Linked DNA regions of Mus musculus. The protein of the gene in region 7 binds, or shares a complex with, the protein of the main gene of each other region. Links are inferred from orthologs where the notes say so. Each region holds a gene or a part of one and is shown on either strand. Other genes may lie near its edges. The genes, in order: Drc3, Iqcd, Efcab2, Fbxl13, Drc7, Drc1 and Iqcg.

What was found.
Region 1: Iqcg (region 7) and Drc3 share a complex: the UniProt entries of both Homo sapiens proteins name them as parts of the nexin-dynein regulatory complex. The link is inferred for Mus musculus from reciprocal best matches to the Homo sapiens genes DRC9 and DRC3.
Region 2: Iqcg (region 7) and Iqcd share a complex: the UniProt entries of both Homo sapiens proteins name them as parts of the nexin-dynein regulatory complex. The link is inferred for Mus musculus from reciprocal best matches to the Homo sapiens genes DRC9 and DRC10.
Region 3: Iqcg (region 7) and Efcab2 share a complex: the UniProt entries of both Homo sapiens proteins name them as parts of the nexin-dynein regulatory complex. The link is inferred for Mus musculus from reciprocal best matches to the Homo sapiens genes DRC9 and DRC8.
Region 4: Iqcg (region 7) and Fbxl13 share a complex: the UniProt entries of both Homo sapiens proteins name them as parts of the nexin-dynein regulatory complex. The link is inferred for Mus musculus from reciprocal best matches to the Homo sapiens genes DRC9 and FBXL13.
Region 5: Iqcg (region 7) and Drc7 share a complex: the UniProt entries of both Homo sapiens proteins name them as parts of the nexin-dynein regulatory complex. The link is inferred for Mus musculus from reciprocal best matches to the Homo sapiens genes DRC9 and DRC7.
Region 6: Iqcg (region 7) and Drc1 share a complex: the UniProt entries of both Homo sapiens proteins name them as parts of the nexin-dynein regulatory complex. The link is inferred for Mus musculus from reciprocal best matches to the Homo sapiens genes DRC9 and DRC1.

What each region holds. Positions count from the first base shown.
Region 1 is NC_000077.6:60,370,380-60,373,879, reverse strand, and holds part of Drc3 (dynein regulatory complex subunit 3), read right to left. Parts: intron 3,412-3,500; coding exon 3,265-3,411; intron 1-3,264. UniProt on the Homo sapiens protein: Component of the nexin-dynein regulatory complex (N-DRC) a key regulator of ciliary/flagellar motility which maintains the alignment and integrity of the distal axoneme and regulates microtubule sliding in motile axonemes.
Region 2 is NC_000071.6:120,587,842-120,591,822, reverse strand, and holds the start of Iqcd (dynein regulatory complex protein 10), read right to left. Parts: upstream 2,801-3,981; 5' UTR 2,729-2,800; intron 1-2,728. UniProt on the Homo sapiens protein: Component of the nexin-dynein regulatory complex (N-DRC), a key regulator of ciliary/flagellar motility which maintains the alignment and integrity of the distal axoneme and regulates microtubule sliding in motile axonemes.
Region 3 is NC_000067.6:178,404,636-178,408,817, reverse strand, and holds the start of Efcab2 (dynein regulatory complex protein 8), read right to left. Parts: upstream 2,801-4,182; 5' UTR 2,716-2,800; coding exon 2,685-2,715; intron 1-2,684. UniProt on the Homo sapiens protein: Component of the nexin-dynein regulatory complex (N-DRC), a key regulator of ciliary/flagellar motility which maintains the alignment and integrity of the distal axoneme and regulates microtubule sliding in motile axonemes.
Region 4 is NC_000071.6:21,642,806-21,646,886, forward strand, and holds the start of Fbxl13 (dynein regulatory complex subunit 6), read right to left. Parts: upstream 2,801-4,081; 5' UTR 2,732-2,800; coding exon 2,657-2,731; intron 1-2,656. Other genes in the region: Armc10 (armadillo repeat-containing protein 10), read left to right, coding at 3,298-3,430. UniProt on the Homo sapiens protein: Substrate-recognition component of the SCF (SKP1-CUL1-F-box protein)-type E3 ubiquitin ligase complex.
Region 5 is NC_000074.6:95,068,603-95,072,102, reverse strand, and holds part of Drc7 (dynein regulatory complex subunit 7), read right to left. Parts: intron 1,701-3,500; coding exon 1,628-1,700; intron 863-1,627; coding exon 734-862; intron 561-733; coding exon 432-560; intron 1-431. UniProt on the Homo sapiens protein: Component of the nexin-dynein regulatory complex (N-DRC) a key regulator of ciliary/flagellar motility which maintains the alignment and integrity of the distal axoneme and regulates microtubule sliding in motile axonemes.
Region 6 is NC_000071.6:30,279,897-30,284,192, reverse strand, and holds the start of Drc1 (dynein regulatory complex protein 1), read right to left. Parts: upstream 2,801-4,296; 5' UTR 2,742-2,800; coding exon 2,587-2,741; intron 1-2,586. UniProt on the Homo sapiens protein: Component of the nexin-dynein regulatory complex (N-DRC) a key regulator of ciliary/flagellar motility which maintains the alignment and integrity of the distal axoneme and regulates microtubule sliding in motile axonemes.
Region 7 is NC_000082.6:33,053,387-33,057,628, forward strand, and holds the start of Iqcg (dynein regulatory complex protein 9), read right to left. Parts: upstream 2,801-4,242; 5' UTR 2,765-2,800; intron 2,657-2,764; exon of another isoform or gene 2,571-2,656; intron 309-2,570; 5' UTR 246-308; coding exon 238-245; exon of another isoform or gene 159-237; intron 1-158. Other genes in the region: Rpl35a (60S ribosomal protein L35a), read left to right, coding at 3,782-3,792, 4,004-4,156. UniProt on the Homo sapiens protein: Component of the nexin-dynein regulatory complex (N-DRC), a key regulator of ciliary/flagellar motility which maintains the alignment and integrity of the distal axoneme and regulates microtubule sliding in motile axonemes.

The DNA.
Region 1 (3,500 bases), on a different chromosome or scaffold from region 7:
GTGTGCTCATGACTGTCACCTACCATACCCTGTGTGCACATGACTGTCACCTACCCATACCTTGTGTGCATATGACTGTCACCTACCATACCCTGTGTGCACATGACTGTTATCTACCATACCTTGTGTGCATATGACTGTCACCTCATGCTGCCAGATACCCCCACCCTCCCCTGATCAGACATGAAATGGTGTTTTCTGTACATAAGAAGTTTCCTGCTGTCATAGAAACATAATTGTTTAATTTCAGAAAATACTTTAAATATTTTCCTGCCATTGTCCTTTGGCATATAAGTACCATTAGTATAGTTTTTGGTTGTATTATGTTAGGATGTTTGGTTTTTAAAAATGCTATTTGAGGCCAGGCAGTGGTGGCACATGCCTTTAATCCCAGCACTTGGGAGGCAGAGGCAGGCGGATTTCTGAGTTCCAGGCCAGCCTGGTCTACAGAATGAGTTCCAGGACAGCCAGGCCTCCATGGAAAAACTCTGTCTCAAAAAAACCAAAAAAGAAAAAAAAAAGGCTATTTGAGTTGCTGAAGAGTTTCATTAAATGAATTTTGACTTGGGATTAGGACAGAATCCACCCAAATTAAGATTTTATTATTATTATTATTATTATTATTATTATTATTATTATTATTATATATGCTGTATATGTGTGTGTGTAGAAGCATGAACCAAGGGGCAATGTAAGTGATTTCTCTCCTTCCAGCCTTATGTAGGTTCTGGGGCTTAACCTCAAGTCTCCAGGCTTATATAGCACTGGATACACTCAACTATTTTGCTGAGCCCTCAACAATTTCTGAAATGGCTCTAACATAATTCTACCATTTTATAGTATGTATTTATTCCACACATTTATTCTCATTGAGAATTAAAAAAATCAAAATATTAATCAGCTCTTAAAACCATTGAAGTTTCTCTGCATCTTGTGGTTTATATATCTAGCCAAGATTTAATGTTTGTTTAAGACAGGATCTCTCTACATAGCTCTGGCTGGCCTCATGTTAGAGACAGATCAGGCTGGTCTCAAACCCACAGAAATCTGCCTGCTTCTGCCTCCTAAGTGCTGGAATTAAAGGCACCTGATCTTCGTCTTTTTTTTTTTACATTTAATTTATTTTGTGTACGAATGCTTTGCCTATATGTACACACACACACACACACACACACACACACACACACACGACAACATATAAATGATCAGAGGGCAACTTGTGGAAGTCAGTTCTCTCTGTCCACCATGTGGGGCCTGGGAATTGGTTTCAGGTGCCTTTACTAGCTCAGACATCTTCCTGGACCACGCCTGGCTTTTTAAAAGATTTTGTTTTGTTTTGTTTTGTTTTGGTTTTTGGTTTTTTTTTTTGTTTTGTTTTTGTTTTTTCGAGACAGGGTTTCTCTGTATAGCCCTGGCTGTCCTGGAACTCACTCTGTAGACCAGGCTGGCCTCGAACTCAGAAATCTGCCTGCCTCTGCCTCCCGAGTGCTGGGATTAAAGGCGTGCGCCACCGCACCCGGCTTTTAAAAGATTTTATTTACTTTATGTTATGTGTGTGAGTGTCTGGGCTGAATGATGTCCGTGTATCATCACTGTATCACGTGCATGCTGCACACTGAGGCCAGAAGAGGGACTTGGATTCCTCTAGGGTAGAGTTACAGGAGATTGTGGAGCACCCATGGGTGCTACAAATTGAATCAGGTCTTGTGGAAGAACAGCCAGTGCTCATGACCTCTGAACCATCTCCCCAGCCCCTCACACGTGGCTTTTAAATCTCCTTTCTGGAGATCAAACTTGTGGCAAGCGCTTGGCCTGCGTGAGCTCTAAGCCTGCATTTAACAAAAGGTAAGATTTTATGCATACCAAAGAATTGTTTTAAAATAAAATTCTTTATGATTCATTACTTATAACTGTTTCATCAGCACTTACCCATAGACATGGATATTTTCTCAGGTAAAAAGGGTTTACAAGAGGGGAACATTGTCAGAACCTGCTCTGAGACAGGACTGGGGTTAAAGGCAGTGCTTGTTTGCTTGGTTGGTCTTTAATTTTTTGAGATGAAGTTAGAGTAACTGAGGATGTCCTGAATCTAGCTCAGGCTGCCTCAAACTATTGATCCTCTTGCCTCAGTTTCTTAAATTCTGAGGTTACAGTAGTGTGTCACCATAACCATTGGATTTAAGAATCTCAGAACTAGGGCTGGAGAGATGACTCAGCGGTTAAGAGCACTGACTGCTCTTCCAGAGGTCCTGAGTTCAATTCCAGCAACCACATGGTGGCTCACAACCATCTGTAATGGGATCTGATGCCCTCTTCTGGTGTGTCTGAAGACAGCTACAGTATACTCATATATATAAAATAAATGAATAATTCTCAGAATTAAAAATCTCAGAGCCAGGCACTACATATCTGTAATCCCAGCATTTAGGAAACTGAGGCAGAAGAATCAGGAGTTCAAGGTTATTCTTGGCTGTATAGTTCAAGACCACCCACGCACACATACTGGGAGAACAAGAGAAATACTCAAGTTCATACTTTCACAGGAAAGCCCACTGTAGTCGGAGATGGGGAAGCAGCTCTCTAATTTCTCTTATTTCTGTGAACAGCACTGAGACTGGACTTTGGAAACCAGCTTGTCCCTCAAGGCAGGGCTCTCTATACAAGCTGTAGGTATATCGGCTGTCTGTATTTGGGTAGACACTAGGATAGCATTTCACTGTCCAGATATTCCTTATGGCAAGGAAGAGGTGACAGAGTCAGGAAGAAATGGGTGCGCGCGTGCACACAAACACACACATGCATACACACTATAGCTGGCCCAGCATGGGGATGAAAGACCAACTCCAAGATTAACTGTAACTGACCAGGAGAGTCTTGGTGAGTCGCTTCCCTTGGTTGCCAGCTTATGTGCTTCCAGAAAGATGGGGATGAGAGTGGGGCCCTCCCAGCTTGGAGTGACAACCCTCAGGGAATTGCTATGGAATTGCTCCCAGGCTCATACGAGCCCTGCCACCAGCTCATGATCAAGACAATTTACTGTCCATCTTCCCTCAATCACCTAGAGTCTTCACCTGGTGGGCTGTTGTGTAGAAGCAGCCGAGGCCTGGAAACATACAGGAGATAAGCCTTGGGAGACTATTGCTGGAGTGGCTGTGCACAGGAGGGGAAATGGCTCAGCCAGGAAAACATGCTCTCTTAGCCATGGACAGGGAGAGCGTCTCACTGTCTCATGACTCCCACTGAGAACAGAGCCAGGATGCTTACCATCTGCTCATCAACGCGCCGGAAGTCCAAGTACACGAGGTCAGAAAGATAGGCATAGATGAACATCTTGTACTCCTCTGCCTCAGAAACGGGATTCCCAGCGAGACTGAGTGTTCGCAGGCACGGGAACCGGCGCAGGTAGATGATCTGGGGAGCGGGAAGCAGAGGTGCTTTCCTTGCTGCCACAGAACTGGAACCACATACAACAGCTTCTCCCCTCTACACCCTTCCTGAGT
Region 2 (3,981 bases), on a different chromosome or scaffold from region 7:
CACATGCACACACACACATATACACTTTTTTTTTTTTTTTTGGTTTTTCAAGACAGGTTTCTCTGTGTAGCTCTGGCTGTCCTGGAACTCACTCTGTAGACCAGGCTGGCCTCGAACTCAGAAATCTGCCTGCCTCTGCCTTCCAAGTGCTGGGATTAAAGGCATGCGCCACCACTGCCAGGCATACATACACATATAATCACATGAATACACATATACATGCATATACACATGCACACACACACATGCATGCATAAGTGAACAAGCATGCATGCACACATACACACACATGCACATGCATCCACATGCACACAATACACAATACATGCACATCCTTATACACACATCCACATGCATATGCATACATACATATCGTGCACACACACATACACACATGAATACATATCCACAACACATACACATGCACACACGTACACACAGGAAGTAAATAAAACAGAACTTAAAATGCAGGCTAGAGAAATGGCTCTGTCAGTAAAATGCTTGAATCTGAAGCTCCTTCATACTCATGTAAGAGCCAGGTGTGACACACAGAATAAGAAAATAAACCCTTCATCTTTAAAAAATATTAGTTACCAGAGTATAAGATATCAACATAATTAATAGAGGAAGCACAGACTTCGTATTTGCCTGGTGTTTGGTGCAGTGTGAACCCGCGTTATTCTTTCAATAATTAAGCCTGCACTGAGAGTAGAAGAGGAGATGCATTTCTTTGTCCATTAAAAGGAAAAAGTTTCCTGCATTTGAGAGCATTCAGGTTAAAATATTTTCATTGGCTACAGGATCTAGCCCGTTGCTATAATAAAAGCTGAAGTTCAGAGATACTTTACCCTGATGTTCTGTTTCAAGTGTTCTTGATTTTTAATCACTTTTAATTCCAAGAACTCTCACTAGGACCTCAAAGAAAAAGTGTGTGTGCGTGCGCGTGCATGCATGCGTGCATGCATGATGTTCATGAGTGCAGGTGTCTTTTGGGCCAGTAGAGGGCGCTGGATCACCTGAAGTCGAGTTACAGGCAGTTGTGACTCATGAATGCTAGGAACTGAGGGCCCTCTACAAAAACAGTGTAATGTCTAAATGTCTAAGCTATCATTCCAGCCCTCCCATTTCAGACAGGATTTCATGCAACTCAGACTGCCGTCACTAACCATACTGTTATGGTTTATATATGCCCGGCCCAGGGAGTGGCACTTTTAGAACGCCCTGTTGGAGTAGGTGTGGCCTTGCTGGAGTGGGTGTGGCCCTGTTGGAGTGGGTGTGGCCTTGTTGTAGGTGCGTCACTGTGGGTGTGGGCTTTAAGACCTTCATCCTAAACTGGGCGTGGTGGCGCACACCTTTGATCCTAGCACTCTGGAGGCAGAGGCTGGCGGATTTCTGAGTTCGAGGCCAGCCTGGCCTATAAAGCGAGTTCCAGGACAGCCAGGGTTATACAGAGAAACCCTGTCTCGAAAAACAAGAACAAACAAACAAAAGACCTTCATCCTAGCTGCCTGGAAGTCAGTCTTCCGCTAGCAGCCTTCAGATGAAGATGTAGAATTCTCAGTTCGTCCTGCACCATGCCTGCCTGGATGCTGCCATGCTCCCACCTTGATGATAATGGACTGAACCTCTGAACCTGTGAGCCAGCCCCAAATAAATGTTGTCCTTACAAGAGTTGCCTTGGTCAAGGTGTAAAGCGAGCAGTCAAAACCTAACTAAGACACACACTAAGCACTCAATAAGCCCATGTTAAATATGTGAATTATTCGTTGTATGAGCCAAGAGAATGTCCTAGGAAATGCTTAGACAGAGGGAGTTAGGGTAGAATAAGTCGTGGCGGGGATCACTGCAATTAGCCTGGCAGTCACAGCACACACACGTTGTGAACATACCTTGTGCACTCACATACACGTAGGCACCCACAGATACATATAAAGTAAAAATAAATAAAGCTTTACGTTATTTTAAAAGAGCGTGTACGGCTTTTTGAAAGGACTAGAGTTTAGTCCCCTGCACCTATGACAGGTGGCTCACAACTGCCCACCCGTAATTAATTTTAGCTCCAGAGGATCCAAAACCCTTTGTCTGTATTCACATTCACATACCCCACCAACGCAGACATAGTGATAATAATATTAATAATGATAATAAAACTTTAACAATTAAAGGGGAAAAAACCTAATTAGACCAAGGGTGGTGGCACATGCTTTTAATCCCAGTACTCAAAGGCAAAGACTGGTGGATCTCTGTGAGTCTGAGGCTAGCCTGGTCTACAGAGTGAGTTCGAGACTACATAGTGAGACCTTGTTCCAAAATCAAAACAAACAACAAATCCTTATTTTAAGCATACACTGAAGGGGGTCACGCACCCAGCAAGCTGACCTCTGAACATAGTGCGGACAGTGGGCACCAAAACAAACCAACCCATCCAATTACTTGAACTAAGTTCACTCGATGTGAACTTCACAAATGGTATCAGTAAGAGATGAGGAGAGGGACTATGAAATGGCAGGTGGACCAGACAGGAAGCAAGACTATCAGAAGAGGATACTTGATGGTGCTTGCAGGAGGCCTAGAGGAGGACAGGATGGAGGTTGGGCAAGGGAGTGAGGACCTGGAGCTGGACGGGATGGCAAGTGGGGCGCGGACGCCTGGAGGGGAGAAATCACTGGACGGCGTGCCTACTAGGTGCACACAGCCTGCAGCCTGGGGCTTCCCCGCTGTCACTCACCAGCTCCTCAAGATGCAAGTTTCTTGGCCCACAGTTAAGCAACTCGGCGGCCCTTATGTTGCTAGGTTACGAGCCACTCTTAGAAGGCGGGACTTTGAGTTTGACTGACATTCTTTTTCACCATTTAACTTCGAATCGGGTTGCGTTGGCTCCGCCTCCTGAAAGATGGCCAATCAAAATCCCCGCCTCTCTGACGTTTCGCCAATGGAAAGACGCAGGATTCCTGTTGGTTGCGCGAGTGAGGCGGGGGTGGGGGTGGGGTGGGGAGGAAAGGGGTGTTGCTTCCTCGCCCCGCCCTCCCTTTGGGAGGAGGGCTGTGAGAACGCTGAGTGACGTGTAGTCTACCCTGTCAAATTTCATTGCGACCCCTCTGATGGCCAGTAGGCTGTGGCCTAGGGCCGTGGGCGGGGCTTTCGGGGCTGAGTGACAGGAGTCGGCGGATGCGAAGGCTGGCGCAGCTGCCGCTGTGGCAGCGGTGAGGCGGCGGTGGCGGCTGCTGAGGCTCCGCGCTGGGGATATTGGCGGCGGCAACTGCGGGCTGAGCTACGCTGTGCAGACCCAGTGCACAGTGCGGGATCCCGGGACGGCGCGTGTAAGGATCCGAGGGGTGCGCGATCTTGGCCCGAGGGCAAGGGTCAGGGGTCAGAAGGTGCAGAGAAGGGGCTGGGGCTGAGTGCTCCAGAAGCCCGAGGCGGGGCCCTGGGAGGTGGCCGGCATGCTCTCTCCTTGCGGATCCCCTTCTCTCTGCACCCCTTTTCTTTGGCCTGACTTCCTGGGGCGACCCGGATCGCGATGGGGATCGTGGGGAGCTAGAGCCCCCGAGCGACCCTTCCTCCCTGCTCACCTCCCTGCTGTGTCCTCTTGTGACCTGGCCGGGGACTCCTGCCTGGGTCAGTCTGCCTCAGGGGACAGATCGCAGGATGGCAGCTAGCTATCTGATTCCGGGACCTTCTTCCAGGGGTGACCTTACCCCAGGGGTGACTCGCTGGGTCTCCGCTAGAGAGAGAACCAAGGTCTGCCAAAGGGCTGGACCTTAGGAGCTCCGAGTCTGCTGTGTGACCTTGGACAGTTTACTTACCCTCTCTGGGCCCCGTTTCTTTCTCTTTGAAAAGTCATAGGCTCTTCAGGAGGCAAAGGCAGGAGAATGGCAACTTCAAAGCTTCAAAGCTCCATAGGGATATCCCTACCACCAAAGACAAAAAACAAGAAAGCGGTTGGTGGATTTCGCCTAAGTGGAGTGCAGTTTCTAGGAA
Region 3 (4,182 bases), on a different chromosome or scaffold from region 7:
CCATCTTCCTGGCCAGTATTTAATAAAGCTTACTTCAGTTGGACAACCATGGATTCCATCTTCCTCATCACAATTTTCAGGTTTAACATTCACCAGACTACTTTCCATGAAGCAAGCATTAAATATATAAGAAATTGAATATATGAAATCCAGCTTTCAACAGCCATTACTTCCACAGTTAGTTGCAGACTGAACTGTTTTTTCTCCTAAACTTACACTAAACATTAAAATATGTTTTGGAAACTAAAGAAACAGAAATTCTGTCTGTCTCTGTCTCTCTCAAGCAGGGATAACAACTGTAAAAATCAGGCTGGGTGTGGTGGCACACAGTTTTAGTCACAGCACTCACTCAGATGCAGACAGGTGCATCTCTGGGAGTTCCAGACCAATCAAAGCTACAAGGTGAGATCCTAAGTGTTGTGTGTGTGTGTGTGTGTGTGTGTGTGTATAATTTTACATTGTAAAAACTTGCAGTATACTCCAATGCTACCCTAAATAAGTCTTTAACTTAAAAAGAAAAGGAGGGGTCTGGAGAGATGGATATTTGTTCCCACTGTGTTAATAACACCTATTGTGTCTCTAGTTGTGGTGTGTTTCAGCTTTAGCATATGCATTTATCCAAGAGTTCTCTGCTTGAATATTATAAACAAAATTAAATAAAGTCAACCATAAGTTAAGAGGTGGAACAAGCAACCAATTGACAGAGAGTAAACATAGGATTATTTAAAAAAAAAAAAAAAAAAAAAAAAACAATGTCTGGGACACTGGCTGAGGAGCAGGGTCAGCTGGGTGCTTTCTCTGCTTCTCTGAGCTAGCAAACTTTCACCACAGATTCTGGCTCCCGGGTTTTCATTGGTAAAACCAAATGATTTAGATTTTGTTTAAAAAACAAAACAAAACAAAAAAAAAACCCAAAAAACAAAAAAACAGATGGCTCAGAGGTTAGAAGCACTACCTGCTCTTCCAGAGAATCCTGGATCAATTCCCAGAACACACATGGCAGCTCACAACCATCTGCAACTCCAGTTCTGGGGGATCCGACACCCTCACAAGGACATACACAAAGGCAATACACCAATACACATAAGGTAAATTAATTTAAAAAATAATTCATCCCCTAATGATTTTCTCCTTTACTTTTTTTGAGGGGGGTAATAAAAGTATAACTAAAAAAAAAAAAATACTTTCTGGGGAAGCTTTTTTTTTTTTTTTACCTAAAACTTTTTTTTTTTTTTTTTTTTGAGACAGGGTTTCTCTGTGTAGCCCTTGTTGTCCTGGAACTTACTTTGTAGGACCAGGCTGGCCTCGAACTCAGAAATCTGCCTGCCTCTGCCTCCCAAGTGCTGGGATTAAAGGTGTGCACCACCACCCCCGACTCACCTAAAACATTTTTTATACAACATATTTTGATCATATTCTTTCCCTTCCCCCAACACCTCACCGACACTCCCTGCCCTCTAACTTCATATTCTTTGTAAAAACAACAACAAAAAAGTAGAATAAAACCTTCCATTTCTAAAATAGCACCACAAAAATCTTGATACCTTAGTAGAGTTAAAACTCTATACTACAATGCCGACTTCTGAGATTAATTTTACCATCTATAAATCACAGGTCATCAATAAGATCTCTAGCTGCCAGGAGTGGTGGCGCACGCCTTTAATCCCAGCACTCCGGAGGCAGAAGCAGGCGGATTTCTGAGTTCGAGGCCAGCCAGGTCTACAAAGTGAGTTCCAGGACAGCCAAAACCAAAAAAAAAAAAAAAAAAAAAATCTAGGGTCTCAAGTTTCCCTGCTGGGTTCCTGTAATCACCATGACAATGGACTAAACAACTCGTGTAAATATTAGTTGTTAACCTAACTACTGTGTTCCAAACCAGAGGGTGGGGGTGGGGGTGGGGGAATACAAGAGGGAGGGGAGAGAGTCAGCAAAGATGGAGTGTTACTTTCACTTTTTTTGCAATGTTTGCCATTTACTATTTTAGGGCTTGCTTGACTATTTATTTAGCGGTGATGTTGTCAATTTATCACGTAATGGCTGTTGAGTCACAGATCCGATTTTAAGTCATTCGGCTGGGTTAGCAACAATTCAAAAGGTCTTGCAGTTCAACATGAAACATTAGTTTTTCGGGTCCCCTGAGGCCTCTCGGGTACCCGGCCGGTCTGGGCGGCCCGACAAGTCCCGGCTGGGTTTTCTTTAAAGTGATTAAAGTGCGTGTTCCTTATGCAAGGCTCTAGCGCGACCCGGGCCGCTAGGGCCCAGTCTGACCTGGAGGCTGCGCTCCGCCTGGCGGAGGAGGAGGCAAAATGGAGGCGGCTGGGGCCGGGTTGGGCCGGGCTGGGCGGGGTTTCGGCACAGCCGCAGAGGATCCCGCCAGGTTCTAGTCGCAGCTCCAGTCCTCCATGAGGCCGCCCTCCGGGTTACCCACAGCCCACCCAGACCGCGGCTGGCGCCCTCACGGGGAGGGGAGGTGCCAGGGACAAGGACGCCATTATGAACCTCCCCGGCGGGGGCTACAACAGCCCGCGCAGACCTCTCGAGGGGACGGGAGGGCGGACGGTGGGGACGCGGGCTGGCGCCGCTTTTCAGCCCACTGTCGCCACGCCGAGGGGCTCAAGATGTTGGCCGGGGGGCGCTTCCTCAGGCGCAGAGGCGACGTCGTGGCACCCCAGGCAGGGTCCTACCTGTCCCTTCCGCGTCCCTTTCCTCCGCCATCTTGGTGCGGAGCCGGTCGCCCGGGAGACATCCAGCACGAACCCTGCGGGACCCCGCGGGCGGAGAAAGCCCCTGGATGCACGGTGGCCCCCCGATCCCCGCCCCCACCAGAACCGAGGCCCGCGTTCTTTGGGCCTAGGGGCGTCATTTATTAACAAGGCTCCGGAACCCGCCTGGGCCTGATTGTGACTGTCAAGGACGTAGTGTGCCTTGCTTATTTCTTTATTCATTTCTTTAATTACTTATTTTATTCAGCTTTTTTTTTTCCCGGCCGTCTCAGGTGCGCCCCAGAACCGGGCGCAGACCTGGCGGCCCCTTACACGGTCCCTCCCCGAAAAGCGTCCGCCCACCCCAACCCCACCCGAGCCAGGCCTTGTGGCTCTCTGGCGTCACCCTCTCCTGAGCGGAGCCACTCTGCCAGTCACGGAACTGGAGCGAAAACGGACATGGGCCAGTGCAGGAGGAAGCCCAGCCTTTCCCCGGGATCGCAGAGAGAGAGAGAGAGAGAGAGAGAGAGAGAGAGAGAGAGAGAGAGAGAGAGGACTTGCTGTAGAAAAACATGTGCAAAATAGGCGCAAACACTGCGTCGCCAAGGCTGCAATTTCTGATACAAAATAGTGTTCTCATAGCAACAAATAAATTGACGGTCTGTTCTCAGGGATACACACATTTTGTATGTTGATGGTGCAATTTGGCATGACCTTCCGATGAGAATTTTGAGTACTGAGAAACTTGGCTATCGCGTGTTTTGTTATTTGATGGATAAGCTCAGAATACTAAGATTCTCCCTTAAATGAAACCCCCCCAAAACAAACAAACAAACAAACAAACAAAAAAAACCCAACAGTTTTGAAATGTCTAACAATGTGACTCAAATTAATATCTAGTTTTAATCTTTAATGATAATTTCATGGTATATGTGTACTTATTTAAATATTTTTGTAAAAGTAACTAAATGTAGAGGCCTTTGTTTTGTCTTGATTTTTCTTTAATATAGTTATTTATTCACTTTACATCTCAGTATTTTATTTTTTATTATTAGTTTTTATTCATCGAAGTTCTGTAATCTCAGTGAATGAACCCTCAAAGCAGGCCAACTGTACTCTTCATTAAAATATTTTTTTCTATAGGCAATAAAGATTTGATGAAGTGTCTAACTACAATTTGAATAATCAGAAAATGGTGCATATCAAGCAAATTTCCCCAGCACTCAGGAGGCAGAGGCAGGCAGATTTCTGAGTTCGAGGCCAGCCTGGTCTACAGAGTGAGTTCCAGGACAGCCAGGGCTACACAGAGAAACCCTGTCTCAAAAAAACAAAAACAAAAACAAAAACAAAACAATAAAACAAAAAGAAAGAGAAAGAAAGAAAGGAAAAGAAAGAAAAGAAAGACTTCCAAGATGAACTCAAGCATACAGTAAATTAATCACCCCAAAATATGGAAGAGTAATTTATATTAATATTTTAT
Region 4 (4,081 bases), on a different chromosome or scaffold from region 7:
AATCACTCAGTGTGTAGAGGTAATTACTGGAAGAAAAGAAACAACAGACAACAGACCCAAAAATTATCCAGATGTTGAAGGAACCTGTGTTTCTTCTTGTTTTTGTTTTATTCAGGCTTACCAAGTGTCTTGAACTCAACATGTGGCCCAGCCTGGCCTCAAAGCAAGCCTCTTGTCCTAGCTCCCCAAGAACTGGGATTATAGACATGTGTGACCAGCTTTCCAGAGAGTGATTTTTACAAAACAATCATTAACATGTTTGAAAACAGGAGATTATAGCAAAATAGATGAAAAAGTATCTTTATAATTTTAATAAGTGGAATGCATTAAAAGGAATCAATGGGCATTCCAAGACTGAAAAATACATTATCTACAATTAAGATTTCACTTATTGTATTCAACAGATGGGATGAGATGTAACAAAAAGCAGAATTAGTAAAGTTAGCAATCCACTAAATAAGTCAATGAAAAATATCCAAAATATCATCCAGAAGACAAAAAAGAGGTAGCTGGACAAAAGCTAAAACAGAGGACAAGGGTAGAATTTTATTATATTCATGATTGGATTCCTATAATAGAAAAGAATTGGGTAAAAATAACAATAGATTTAAGTAATTGGTTCCAAAACCAATGAAAATTAAATATCAATCAGCAGATTCAATAAGCTTAGTAGATCAGGCAAGTGTTGTGGTTTTGGTTTGGTTTGGTTTGGTGTTGAGGTTTTATTTTGCTTATTTTTTGGTTGTGTTTTTTATTTTTGAGTCTTACCATCCCTATGCCTGGGCTCAAGCAAGCTTCAGCCTCAGTCTCCCTGGCAAGTAAGAGTTTACAAACCATTACAAACCACTGGCATGGGTAGGCTTTGGTTTGGGTTTTTCCTTTATCAGAGTGTACACAGGTTTGTAGGGAAACAGTGTTGTGGATGGACAACTAGGTTTACTTAGAACACACAGGCAATGTTCAGAAGAGGTCAAACATGCATAGATAACTGCAACAAGTACAAAGTACAGAGAGACCTGGCAGAATAGAAGTCACCTTAATGGTCTGAGGGAAAGTGAATGAGTGTGCCCAAAACCTGTCTTGCCCCTGCTGTTAATGTGTGAGCAGAGGTGACTGAAGGGATCATCTGGATAAAATCACGGGGAAAAGCCATCCTAAAAGGAAGTGTTGTGCCCAATTGCCCTGGAGGTTGAATGGCACTCTTCTCTCTCCCTTAGAACTCCCTCATTCGCCCCATTTCAGAACTCCCGCTGTATCACCACATAACATACACCGCGTAACATAACATACAGATAAATGGGAGTCACCAGTGATTTCTCAGCTCCCTGCCCCCAGGAGTACAAAACCTGGTTTTCAATACCATACTGTCCTCCCGAGGCAGGGCAGAATGAGGGGACTGGAGGGGACTGGAGGGGACTGGAGGCGGAGGTAGAGGAGGAAACCCTGCTCCTTCAGAACTGATCTACTTTCACTGCTCAGAAAGGACTTTAAGTCTGCGGGTAAGAACCTAATGGACTTCAACTGTGCTCACTTGAGGCTGGGTGCTGTATCTCCAGACACTTCAACCAAGGATGTCGAGGCCAGTAATTAGGCTCTGCTTACATAAGGTCAAAATGACACATTATCTTGAATTCCTGGCCTCCCCACTCCCAGAACTAAATGAAGCTGTTCATAAATGCACTATATGTTAGTTACTGAGAGAAAAAGAAACTTCGGTTTTTAATCTAACTTTGTTACAGACTATACTCTTTGGGTGATGTTAATAAAAGGGGAATGTTTATCCTTCTGGGACTCTGGGGTGGTACCCAAGGAGGGTTTTCCCTTCTCCTCTGATAGGGGGAAGGGGGTAGTGGGGGAGGGGCTTGTAAGGGACTGGGAGGGGAGGAGAGGGGTGGGCTGCAATCGGGAAGTAAGTGAATAAAGAAATTAAGAAAGAAAAAGAAAAGGGGTAGTAGTTTCTTGGCAACATTTAGAAATGTAACCTTGAAAGTCACAAGAAAAAATACTGATGTCAGCATTGTGAAGACAACACTTAAGGTCGACTCTCCCTTCAGAAGCCCGCAATTGTCTGACCAGGTGTGTTCTACTCTCTCTACTGGAGCACCTTTGTTCCTGCGTTTAATGAAGCCAGCTTTGCTTCATACAAGTTGGCCCCGAAATTCATTTCTTTGTTGAAACCAAGACCTCAGGTTTTGCTTGGTGGCGATCTCTAAAAAGGTGTGTTGTGAAGCTGTGTGTAGAGGCAGGTGACTCTTCTTCCCTCCTGCTAACAACGAGGCGGGGCGAAGCCTACACCCAGAACCCCTCAAGTCTTTTGTCTTCAAGTGGCTCACCACTCACTTCTTGCTCAAGACGCTCTTCCATAATAGAATTTAGTAGTTGACACTTGGAGATTCCAACCCAGGCCCTGTGCTCTTTGCGCCCCCTGCAGATTGTCACTTTCCCCCGTCCCCTTCCTTTGTCATCCCCACCTGGGCTTGGTTTTAGCCACCGGCACCCTTCGGTCTTCTCTAACCTACCCTTCTCTCTCTAGTTACCCTAAATTGACTTCAAGCTTCCCCATCCTGCTCCTTCTTAGCTCCAGTTCCGGGAATCTCCTTGCCTCTCCCAGTTTTTCCCCGCGCCCACTGTGTGAGAGGCTATGTGGCTGCAGTACCTCACAGATTTGAGGAATGTACTTGTCCCTGAAGTAGCTCCTTAGCCTGGGGGTGGCACTGCGTAGTGAAGCCATGGTCAGAAGCAGGACTCAGAATGCGTTTCATAGGTTACTGCTGTTCACGTTGAGGAGGAGAGACGCGCCGGAGCGTTGCCTAGCAACCACAAAGGAGGTGCCAAATAGTCCAAGCCTTTCGCGAGATGAAGAAAGAACCTAGCAGGGAGGGGGCGGGGCAACTGGGGCGGGGCGGGGCGATTGCAGAGGGGCGGGGCAGAGAGGGGCGGGGCGAGTGCAGAGAGGCGGGGCAGAGCGGGGAGGGGCGGGGCAGGACAGTACAGGCCGGGGCCGGGTAAAATGAGAGGGCTGGACGGGAGAGTGAGTGTTGGGGCGGAGCTAGGGTCTGTGTTCAACGCGCCGCAGTCCCGGTCTTGGTCCAGGAAAAAGCTGCTTGCACTAGGGGCATCCCGCCTGCCTGGTGAAAGGAACCGCAGCACACAGGGTGGGAGGGCTTCCGATTTTAGCAGGGCGGCTTCCGGAAGGCGGAGCTCCAACCCCATTTCCTTTCTCTGGGCTGGTTCTGGCCCAGCTGCACCTGCGTGTGGCCCTGGCTCCTCGGCTCCCTGCAGCTCCGAGGCAGCAGCATGGGTGGCGCGCGGGACGTGGGCTGGGTGGCAGCAGGGCTGGTCCTGGGCGCCGGCGCCTGCTACTGTATCTACCGGCTGACTCGGGGACCGCGGCGAGGCGGTCGCCGACTGCGCCCTTCGCGATCCGCAGGTGAGGCGATGGGCTGCCCGGCAGGTGGACTGGTTCGGGGCTCCGGACCCACCTCAGGCCAGGCTGGGTTGGAGGTGCCCTAGACACCCGCGACTGCATGGGGAGAAAGGCTGGAGGTAGACAGACGACTCTGGAAGCCCAGGTTGCCTTGGGTGGGTCCTGAGCCGCTTCCCTGCTCCCACTTCTTTGTTTAAAATAAGAGCTGAAAACATTGCCCGAAGTGTCCTGTTACTTCCCTTCGGCTTCACAGCCAAGAGCTGAGGTTTCTCCGAGCCAAGTAGATTGCCTCTCATTTTAAAGTTTTACCTGAGCTTTTGTGTTGTTATCAAAGAGATGCCCCTTACTGTGAGAAGGTTCTCAGGGGCCTCAAGCCTGGGTTGAAACTTTGCTCGTGCTATGTGAAGAATGGATCCCTGAGATGCAATTCTGCCAGCACTTTGTGGCACCTGTCCTGGGAAGTACCTTTAAGTCATCCGTAGCGTCCCTGCAACCGGGGTGTGTGTGTTGGGAATAAGAACCACAACCAACAGGAGACACACCCTTCTAAAAGGATGGCTTAAGTCGTGAAAACTGTTGGAAAAACTATTTGAAATAAAACCTGCCAACCAATACCTGCTTGCCTCAAAGGTAGAGAAATATATTTGTTTTTAA
Region 5 (3,500 bases), on a different chromosome or scaffold from region 7:
CACGTTCTTTCTTTCCCCTCTTCCCGACCTCATGGACTCCTAGCCATAGAGCCATACAGTGGCCACTCTGCTCCTACGTTGCCTCTTTGGTGGTGCTAGTTGGCTTTATGGCCCAGCATTCTTAGACCCTTTACATGTGGCCCATATCATGTACCCTCTGGAGGAGATTCCGGCCTGATCCCAGGCACAGAACAGCATGTGGCCCTGGCTTTGACTTTCCTAGAGAGCCGATGGTCATGGTGTCTTCCCTTTCTGGGCTTCCTCAGCTGACCACACACCACCTTATCTTACAGAGTCAGAGGTAATGCCCATGCTTGCCACCCAAGGCCCTCCGTGATGCCTAGGGTCGGTTCTTCCCATCAGTGTCATCGTATGTAAACGCCCCTCCCCAACCACGGCCCTTGGTCTGCCCAGCCAGGGGATCCACACACCACACAGAGCTTGGGGATGGCCTGGCTTGAAGTAGTCCACGTGCAGGCCTGTGGTCTTGTTGATGTGCTTCAGCTCTAGCATATCCTCCCGGTTCTGGTACCACTCCTTTATCTCTAGAACCTTTGTGCCTGTGGGGACACAGAGATGGTTGCTGCAGGCAGACCAGCTCCTCTGGCCTCTGCCATACACACACACACACACACACACACACACACACACACACACTAGAACTGATTTACCCGGAGTCACCAAGCACGGCATCTCCTTGTTTTCCCCATTCCGTGCCCCCAAGGTGCCTTACACTGTTGGTCCTCGTAGGTGGTGAGGCGACACACCAGGCCGTTGTTGTTGAGGTATGGGGACCACTTCTCCAGCTGTGCCTTCTTGTACTGTATCACTTTCTTCCCACTGGGACAACGGGTCTCAAACTCTGTGGATGTAGAGGGAGCTGGGGTCTTTCCTTCCACCCCTTCCTGGATGCTTGTCCATTGTCTGTGTTGCCTATAAAGTGCCTCCAGGCCCAGAACCAGCTCCAAGGAGGAAGAAAATACCTGCCAGTGCTGGCTTCAACTCTTCCCAAGGTATTCTTGGGCGAGCCAGCATCCCAGGGCTACCTGAGAATCATATCTGTGATCCAGCCACTCCTTTCCCCTGCCAGGCCTTCACCACTGAGAATAATGTGCTAGAAAGACATCTGATCCTTCAAAACCCAGCCCCAATGACTACTACCTCTTAAGACCCATTTTGCCTCCATGCCTTATCTAGGATGTAATGGGTGCTCCTACCCCAGGGTTCATGACCACTTCTGTAGCACTTTGCCACCTGCTGGAACAGCCTATGCCCTTCTTCTGATCTAGGCATTTCCAGGTGGGCATATGTAGACATTGGGCAAAGGATAACCCAGCCTCTTGCCTTCTTTGCCTATTTTTTTCCTGTGGCCTGGCCCCATGGCACCATATACTCCATGTTCTGCCCATGGCCTCCTCTGAACAGGGGATCCGGGGAAAGGGAAGAAAGAGACCATGTCCCCGGACCTCGGTGCTCATAATGGTAACAGTCCAGTTGTGTGGCAGGTAGGGTCAGGCTCTGAGTACAGAGCTGGCAGGGTGTTGAGAGGGGCTGGGAAGAAGGGCCCAGGAAGCCTCTACGGCTCCTCTGCTGAGCTGTGGGCTGAGAACCAGTGAGTGACAGAGACCTTCTGGGGTGATCTCAATCTGGGAGACCCACGAAGACGGCATGTCAAAGCTCTTATCCTCCTCTTCTTTGCCCTGTGAGGAAAAGAGGTGGTTGCTGGCCAGGGCCTTGGAGCAGAGGCCATGGCACAGTTCTGTTCCCCTACCCCAGACCCAGACTTGCTAAGGGGGCTGTCAGTTTCCCCGGAAGAGCAAGAAGTCAGAAGATGACCCAGGTTAGGGGAGGAGAGGAGTAGGTTTGGGTGGACCCCTACTCCCTCTTTGCGTGGTCTAAGATGGTAGCACTGGTTCTCATGCCAAACCACCTGCAGCCATAATGGCTACTCAGAGAGGGGATCCTGAGTCAGAGGGAGTACAGTCTTTGACTGTACCTAGCACCAGGTAAGGAGGGCTGGGTAAGTTTTCCATCCACTCTTAAGCCTAGGTTTCCTTAGCTGTTTACTGGGCCTCTTGGGAGGACTAATAGATATTGTGAATAAGTCTTGGGCCCTGCATGGCTGTTCTTCCCTGGTCTGTGAAATAAGGCCTGGTCTAGACAAGTGATCCTCAGACCCAGCTCAAGATTTCCTGTGTATATACTTTTGCCAGAAACAATGCTCAGGCCTTGGGTGCTTGCTCATCTAATTGTGACTTCTTTTGAGATCACACAAGGTGATCGATGGGTTGGCGGCAAGCAATAGTAACTTTTTTGAGACAGCCCAGGAATCCCAGGTCTGGCCCTGCAGCTGAGGGCTGATTCTCAGGATCTATCATCTGTCCATGATGGAGGGACCAGGATTCCCATTCCAGGGATGTGACAGGGCTTCCAGAAGGAGCAGGCTCCTGAGTTGAAGGGTACATAGCCCACAGCCAGCAGGGACACCAGTGCTCAGAATCAAGGAGAAGGAGAACAGGGCCACTTCAGTCATTCTTGTTGTGTTGTTGTTGTTGTTGTTTGTTGTTTGTCGTTTGTTTTTCTTCTTGAGACAGGGTTTCTCTGTATAGTCCTGGCTGCCCTGGAACTCACTTTGTAGACCAGGCTGGCCTCGAACTCAGAAATCCACCTGCCACTGCCTCCCGAGTGCTGGGATTAAAGGCGTGAGCCACCACCGCCCAGCTGGCCTCAGTCATTCTTAGGCAGCCGTCAGAGCTGAATAATCACCCCCCTGAGAAGGCAGCCAGACTGTTGGGGTTTGGTTCCTAGCTCTCACTTATTGGGTGAGACACCTTTGGTGTCTCCTTTTGCTCTGCTGTGTATAAGCTGTCCTCAGCTACCCAGGAAGCGGGGATTTAAATGAGTGAACTCAGATTCTGCGGCAGGAGCAGAACCTGTCCCCGCAGTGTTGCCTGTTGATGTGGGCTTCCTCAACCTACCTCTAAAATCATATGCTAAAGTATACACACACACACACACACACACACACACACACACACACACCGCCCCAGTAACTATGAATCCTGTTGCATTTGGAAGTACGGACTTTATGGGTAAGGCAATGGAGTCTAAATTGGGTCTTCAGGTGGTTCTATTGCAATATGCTAAGTGTCCTTATGAGATAAAGGACACAGATTCAGAGAGAGAGAGTCAGATAAAGCTACAGTGCTCATGGCTACCAGCAAACCCAGAGGAATTTGGAAGAAACCAGCCCTGCCAGCAGCACCTTTGATCCTGAATTTCCAGCCTCTGGGAGTGTGGAACTTCCACTTTGTAGTACTCCCTTATGGCAATGCTAGGCGACTGATACACCTGTTATTGTTGCTATGGATACCAAACACAGTGACCCTCACCCTAGTTTTACACATAAAGGAGACATGGAAGATTCCTAAAGCAGGGGGAATTTGCCTCCTAGTCTCTCCTTTCTCCATGTAGGAAGTACCCCACCACCACCCCCACAC
Region 6 (4,296 bases), on a different chromosome or scaffold from region 7:
AATAATATTTATCTATTCATTTGTCTTGTGTGTGTGTGTGTGTGTGTGTGTGTGTGTGTGTGTATGTGTGTGTGTGTACTCAAACCATGGCACACATATAGAGGTCACACTGTCTTCTGTTCAAACAGCCAATCAGAAGCATCCATCACATTCAACTTCAAAATTTGTCCTGCGTCCATCTGCTTCTCTCTAGATTATTGACACAGAGTCCAGGCCAATCCCGTGCCTCACCAGAACCAGAGTAGTGTCTCCTTCCTGCTCGGGTCTCCTCAGTCACACCTCCAGCCCCTTTACACCAGTCCCCAAAACAGTGAGCTGAATAATTTGAAGGTGAAAGTGACGCTCTGCCCATCAGGAAAGTGGCCTTAATTTTGTTTAGACATTATCACATGCTATTATCACACCCAACAAATATCTCCCCACCCCAACCCCTACAAGACAGAATTTCTCTTTGTAGCCCTGGACATCCTGGAACTCTCTTTGTAGACTAAGCTGGCCTTGAACTCAGAGATCCTCCTGCCTCTACCTCCCAAGTGCTGGGAATAAAGGTGTGTGCCACCACGCCTGACAATGTCTTAAAGTAACCCAGCAGTGCCTCCTTACAAAGCTAGCTTTTTCTCAAGCTCCAAGCTATCCTTTCTAGCTGCCTGGCTTTAGGGCCTACTCCCAGGAGTCTCCTCTCCCCTTGCTGTCCTTGTCATAGATCATAGTTATAGGGACACTTGTCCTCTCTCTCTCATTAGAATATAAACTTCCTGCACATCACTGAATTCCCAGTCTCTTTGGGTTTTTTTTTTTTTGCTTGTTTGTTTGTTTGCTTTGCTTTTTTGTTTTTGTTTGTTTGTTTTGGTTTTTCGAGACAGGGTTTCTCTGTATAGCCCTGGCTGTCCTGGAACCCACTCTGTACACCAGGCTGGCCTCGAACTCAGAAATCTGCCTGCCTCTGCTTCCAAGTGCTAGGATTAAAGGCGTGCGCCACCACCACCTGGCCTGCTTTTTTGTTTTTGTTTTTGTTTTGTTTTTAAGGTTTATTTATTATTATATGTAAGCACACTATAGCTGTCTTCAGACACACCAAAAGAGCACATCAGATCTCATTACGGATGGTTGTGAGCCACCATGTGGTTGCTGTGATTTGAACTCAGGGCCTTCAGAAGAGCAGTCAGAGTTCTTAACCACTGAGCCATCTCTCCAGCCCCCCAGTCTCCTTGTTAAACACCACAGCAACAACCAAGACCATGATCCTCGGACAGCTTTGGAGATGGATAAATGTGGCATCACTTGGAGACAAGTAGAAGAGCAGATAAGAGTCCAGTTCATCTGTTAGCCAAACAGCAGCAACAGACAAGCTTACTAAGGATGCTTCTGCCTTGCCCAGTTCCTGAACCAACCCCAGTTCTCATCCCAGAACCTCCTAACCAAAGAGGTGGCAGGGATCCCAGGAGGAAGAACAGAGAACACAATGCAAATACATAATGTAGTGAGGCTCCTAGCCTTTCCCCAAGGGGATTGAAGGTCATCAGGGAACTGTCAGGGAAGGGGATACCCAGACAGTGTTAGGACAATTAAAAACAGATCTGAGTTACCATGACAACAAGAGATGCTAACCATGATCACAGCCTTGCCCAACTAGGATGGAGGCACACAGACCTCCATCTTGTACTTCTGCTGGGTCTGTAGACCACCAAAAGTAAAAGTGGAATGAACGACTTAGAAGTTGAACAACTGTCACATGAAGTCTGGTGACTAGTGGATGTCCCTTAAACTTTACCTAAGCTAATAAAGACACCAAAGCCTAGGGAACATGGTGGGAATGCAAGTGTGGTGGCTCCTATCACATCCCCTCTTAATTCACAGGTCTGGCACTTGCAGTACCTGGATGGATTCTAGACAATGATCATCAATGTCCGCAAGCACAAGCAAGCAGCCACCCCGCCTTTGCTACAGTAGATCCGTCGACATGGCCTTGGGCCCAGGGAGTGTGGCCACTAAGTGAAATGAAAGCTTTTACTCTTATTTTATTTTTATTTTGAGGTGTCAAGGCCTTCCTACGTAGACTAGGCTAGCCTTGATCTCAAAGAGATTTGCCTGCCTCTGCCACTCCAGTACTGAGATTAAAGGCATAAGCCACTAACCTGGCTTTATTTTATTTTATTTTTTAATTTTAAAATGGATCAAGATGCTCATATCTGTGTGGAACACACAATCACATATGCTCACTGGCTGTGATAAGGTATTCTCAGTAGAATGGGGATAACCGACTCTTTCACAGATCGCGGTCCATTACATCTCGTCAACAAACTCTAGCCTCTGGAATAAATCTGACCTAGAACTTTTTTATTTTTATTTTCAAATATTGGGACAGGGTCTCATTATGTAGCCCTAGCTGTCCCAAAACTCACTGCTTGAATGTTCTAGAAGAAAAGTTTTTCTGTTTACACCCAGGGCGCGCGCGCGCACACACACACACACACACACACACACACACACACACACACCTTACCATGGAGCTCCCACCCAGCCCGGCCCCAGCTCCCTGCAGGGCACTCTGGGCTCCCCATCGCACCACCCGGCCACCCAGCTCACCGCCTTCGGGCTTCCTGACGAGCAGCGATGCGCAGGCGCCGGGCCTGGATCCGCTCCTGCGGGTTATCCGAATGCACCGAGGGTCCGAGAATCGGGGTGGCTAAGTGTTCTTCCCCATTCTGCTCTAGGACCCCAATGGTTCCTGAGGGATTCATGGCGGCGTCTCCCACCCACTGGCAGCTCCGCCTGGACCAGCAGCCGGGTTGCTAGGAACAAGCCGTTGCCAAGGGAAAGCAGTCACCTGACCCATCTCTGGCTAGCTGTCGCGCGGCGCTCCAGCCCAGCTTCTCTGTCAGGCACTACGAGTTGTATATTTGTATCCCAAATGTGGACTTGATTCCCCTTGCCTGAAGTTGGTTTGGAGGGGCTGACTTGACCCCACGAAGGCAGATGGAACAAACCGCACCGCATCTCTTTCTGACTCAAAAGCCCAATTCATCATCCACCTTACCAAATGAATATTCCTAAAAGGCACTTTGCTCCAAAATAACTGAGTACCTGCAACATGAAAAGCATTGTATTATATAGCTAGAGACAGTGGCGTCCTTTCCTTAAGCTGAGTGGGAGACCACCTCAGCCCATTGCAGTTTTGGAAGTGTGAACTCAAGTACACTCATCATCTGTAGCCATGACCGAAAAAGAGGTGGGTTCAGGAGAATGGTTGGGGGGGGGGGGGCGGGGAAGAACCCAGGACACCACCGCTCTCTCAAAGCAGCAGTCTGCGGGGGCGGGGGGGGGGACATCATGCCTTAGGCACCGTGTGTCCCCTTGTCAACAAAATAATGTCCTGGGGCCAGAGAGAAGGCTCAGCAGTCAATGTTTATGGCCAAGGAGAGTGACCAACTGAGTTCAATCCTTTAGGCCCACACTATGGAAAAAGTACCAGTACTGATAAATTGTCCTTTGACCTTCACATGCCACAGTGGCATATGGGCACACAAAATCATAGGTGTAAAAAGTGGTTTTTTTTTTGTTGTTGTTTTTTAATGTTCTCTTTAAGAATTAAAACTATGCCTGTGGGCTTGTGGTACGGCTCAATGGTAAAGGGTTTACCTACACCAGTTGGTTCGTTGGAGCACCTTGGACAGGACACACAAAACAAAACAAAAACACCACTCCTGTAATCCCAGAACTCAGGATTGTGTTCCAGGTCATCCTGGAACACAATGAGACTCCATTTCTAAACTAAATTAAAATAAGAAATGTAAAGCCCTATACCAAAATAATAATAATAATAATACCCACCCTTATAATAATAATACACACAGACATGCAGACATAGTGGTTCACAATCAGCCCTCTGGGAGGCTGAGATAGGAAGACTGTAAAGTTCTAGGCCAAGCAGGGCTACATTTCAAGACACTATCCCTAATGCAAACCACTCGACAGTTTTATTTTTGTAGCATTGGAGACTGAACTTAGGGACTCAGACATGCTAGACATTCCTTGATGATGAAGGGGTTTTATGGCTTAGGGAAGTTGCAATGCAAGAATGAGTTTGCTGCTGGGGGTGGTGGCACACGCCTTTAATCCCAGCACTCAGGAGGCAGAGGCAGGCGGATTTCTGAGTTCGAGGCCAGCCTGGCCTACAAAGTGAGTTCCAGGACAGCCAAGGCTACAGAGAAACCCTGTCTCGAAAAAAAAAAAAAAAAAAAAAGAATGAGTTTGCTGTGTAAAACCTAATCCTCTATAATAGGAAAGCCCAGAAGA
Region 7 (4,242 bases):
TGTGTGACATTTTGTCCCACAGACAGGGAAAGCTTAACTGGCCCAGATCCCACACCAGAGTCACTTGCTAAACGCCCTCAAGCGCCCACCCCACAGCAGCGCTGAAATGGGAAGGTGTTTATACTTTAGGGCGTTACATTAGTTGGTTACATTGTTACCGAAAAGTAATCCACCGAATTCAACAAATGGCGTAATTGCAACAGTACAGGGACAAACAAACCGGAACTTGAAACATACTCGTCCATTCTTCCTCAGTTTCTTTCCTTGCCCTCTGGGCTAGATTTATAATTTCACAAGAATGAAGGAACCTAAAGTAGAAAAGAAACATTGATATCAGTTCCAGGGAATGCTAATTTTTTTCCCTTTACTCTCAGGCTCTTTTTGTAGGAGAGAAAACAAAACAAAACAAACAAACAAACAAAAACCCCACAGAATCCCAAGAGCTATCTATAGCTTGTCTCCTCCTGCTTAGGGAAGCAGGCTCATAAGATGCAGGCTTGTTTTTGTTGTTGTTGTTTTCCAGACAGGGTAGATGTAGGCTTACTAAGTGGCTGGCTCCATTACTGGTTCATCAAACCAGAAGTTATACTCAAGGTAGTCTTTTGCCTCTTTTTACGGTAAATTGACATCTAACACAATTTTAATGTGTGTACTTGTACTCTGAGTTTGACTGTGAATCAACAGAGAACTTTTTTTTTTTTTTTTCTTTCAAGACAGGGTTTCTCTGTATAGCCCTGGCTGTCCTGGAACTCACTTTGTAGACCAGGCTGGCCTTGAACTCAGAAACCTGCCTGCCTCTGCCTCCCAAGTGCTGCGATTAAAGGCATGTGCCACCAACGCCCAGCTTCAGATTTATTTTTGATTCTTTAATTTCTTCTATTATTCTCACTTATATATTAAATTAAATATTTCTGCCCTGCTCTATCAGAGAACAGAATTTACTGTAACTTGACTTAGAGAAATCGAGTTTGGGCTGACAAGATGGCTAAGCGGTTAAAAGCAATCAGTGCTCTTCCAGAGGGTCCTGAGTTCAAATTCCAGCAATCATATGGTAGCTCACAACCATTTGTAATGAGATCTGACACCCTCTTCTGGTGTGTCAGAAGAGGCCATCCTTGGCTCAATACAGGGAGTTTGGGGCCAGCCTAAGCTACATGAGACTTTGTCCTTCTTGTTAATGGCTTTAAAAAAAAATGTGTATGTGCCTGCTTGTCTCTATGTGCACTGTGTGCATACAGCAGATTTCCTAGCGCTGAAGTTATAGGTAATTGTGAGTCCCTGATGTAGATGCTGGGAACTGAACTGAAGACCTCTTTAAAAACAGTGTATGCCCTTAAACATTGAGACATTTCTCTAGTCCCTGTCTCAAAACAAAACAACAACAATAACAATAACAAGTTGCATGTAAAATCTAGCTCTAGAGTCTGAGGCCATCTTCCGACCTCTGAAAGCACACACATAAACAGGTTTTTAAAAAGGAAGTCTTGCTGGGCGGTGGTGGCTCACGCATTTAATCCCAGCACTCGGGAGGGAGAGGCAGGCGGATTTCTGAATTTGAGGCCAGCCTGGTCTACAGAGTGAGTTCCAGGACAGCCAGGGTTATACAGAGAAACCCTGTCTTGAAAAACCAAAAAAAAAAAAAAAAAAAAAAAAAAAAAAAAAAAAAAAAAAGGAAAAGAAAGGAAGTCTTGACCTTTTAACATACCACATGTCTAATCTGCTTGTTGTCTTGTTTTTTTTTTTTTTTTTTTTTTGCGAGGAGTGAGGGAGCAAGGATGAGATTTCTTACTCTGTAGCTCAGGATATCTGTGTACACATAATGTACCTCTTACTGACCTAAAACAGAGCAATCTTCATACTTCAACCTTCTAAGTGCAAGGATTACAGACACCAGAGCCAACATGCCATCCTTGCTCCCTCATGTAGGCTGCAAGAGGGCAGACGTTTTAGTCTGTTTACTCTGGTGCCCTACAAGCCTACAGCATTCTTGGTAGTGGTAGTCATTCAATAAATTACTCTCTGATTAAATGAATGGATCCATCAGTTCGCCTTAATTAATGCACAAGTTAGGAACTGTAAATCTGAGTCTATTAAATTTATCTGTGGGCTGGTGAGATGGCTCAGTGGGTAAGAGCACCTGACTGCTCTTCCGAAGGTTCAGAGTTCAAATCCCAGCAACCACATGGAGCCATAACGAGATCTAGCTCCCTCTTCTGGAGTGTCTGAAGACAGATATAGTGTACTTACATATAATAAATAAATGAATTTTAAAAAATTTATCTGCATCCGACAAGTCAGGGAAAGGATGGAAGGATATCTTCTATCTCTCACTTCCTCACATCGTCTCCCTTTTTTTCAGATGGGGTCTCATGTAGCTCAGGCTGACTGGCACTCCCTATGTAGCAGAGGATGGTCTTTTAAGTCCTATTCACCTGCTCGCACAGCTAGAATACTGGGGTTACAAGCAAGCACCGGGACCGCGGTTTGCCTCATGGATGTTTGTTGCTGTTAAGATGGGGCCTTGCTATGTAACTTAGCCTAGCCTCGAATTTGTGATGTGATCCTCCTACCTCAGTCTCCGGAATAAATGCTGAGGTTAACGGGCAACGGCTACCACACCCTGTTTGTTAAATTAAAGATGGGAAAAAATAAAAGAACAAATCAAGAGAAACTCCTGCCTTCATGCTCCAGGTTTTTCTCTCCTATATGGTAGGATCCCAGTCTCCATTCTAGGAAGAGGAGAAAACACTTAACTTTTCCTTACCTCTCTACCAGCCCAGCTGGAGGCGGGAACCAAACTAATCGGTAGCTATGGCAACGCGTCGCGCAAGCTCTTTTTTTTTTTTAAGTAGGACCCCTGATTCTTTCTTAGTCGACTACGATTTTGCCTTTCCTTGTTCCTAAATAATACGTGTTGCCGCTTACAAAGACGAAAGGGCAGGAGGGAAAGAATTTAAAGTTCTTGAGCGCGGCTTGGCTGAGTCGAGCCTCTCTCTCTGTCTCTGACCTTTGCTTTCTGGCGCAGTGTGAGCGGCCTAAGCGCGGAGAGGGGCGGGGCGTGCGTCCCACAAGGCCGCGCGGCGGGGCTTGCCTTCCTCTTTCCGCCATCTTGGCGCCTGTGGAGGTGAGGGGGGTTCCTGCTGCTGAGCTTTGGGGCCCGATTGCTGGGGTGCGTTTAGTTTCATCCCTCACCGAGACAACCTGGCGTCTCGGAGAACCCGACCGCCAGAGGTTTCTGGGGATTCCAGGAGGATGGAGGGCGGGATGGAGGCGATGACGGGCTGATGGTGTGGAGGCCCCGGCCGGGGGAGGAGAGCTCGCTGGTCTCGGTCGATCTCCGGCTCGGGAGGAGAGAATGGGTGCATTTCCCCCGGTCTTACTGGCCCGGGGAGCGGTGGTCCCTGGGAGCTGGGTTCCCCGCACAGAGCCGGATCTCGCCTGTGTTAGCTGCTTTCTGTACTGATGGAGGCATGAGCTCGCCTCCGGGTTCCTTTTGGGGTTTGAGAAGTTAAGTCTCGGGTGAGTCGCCTTCCCACCCGGCCTTTGCCCACGATTCCGAGTCGTTCGTTGTCATTGGTTGTCGGAGCCCTGAGTATTTTGCCAGGCTCTGCCTCTATAGGGGGCAGGGCGTAGGTAAGAGGTCCCCATCCTTGGGACGCCGACTGAAGCCATCTCTCGCGCCGGGAAATAGTGACAGGTGGGATGCGTGCTGCATGACTCTCGGTTGAGCTCTCGGTTTTGTTTTTCAGGCCTGCTGGGAACAGGACTTCTAACAGCAAGTATGTCTGGAAGGTACGCGATCTCACAATAGTCGTTTTCTCCATTTCTGTTTCGTTCTATTAAACGCGAAGCTAAAGTTCAGTGTAATGCGGGAGGGGAACGAGAGGTCTGCTGTAGATAGCTGGAGTAGGAATTGCTACAAAGCAAATCATGGTGGCTTGCTAAAAGATACATGAAAAGTTGTAACGGGGTAGTCATCATGTCTTTCTTAACGTTGTCTTAGGCTGTGGTGCAAGGCCATTTTTGCTGGCTACAAGCGAGGTCTCCGGAACCAAAGAGAGCACACGGCTCTTCTTAAAATTGAAGGCGTTTATGCCCGAGATGAAACGGAGTTCTACTTAGGCAAGAGATGTGCTTATGTGTATAAGGCAAAAAAGTAAGTATGCTCCCATGCCTTTTAATTTTTGGTTGACTAATCTCGTTTTTTCTACTGAAAAGGTAGGGGTGTTAGTGAGAAATTGG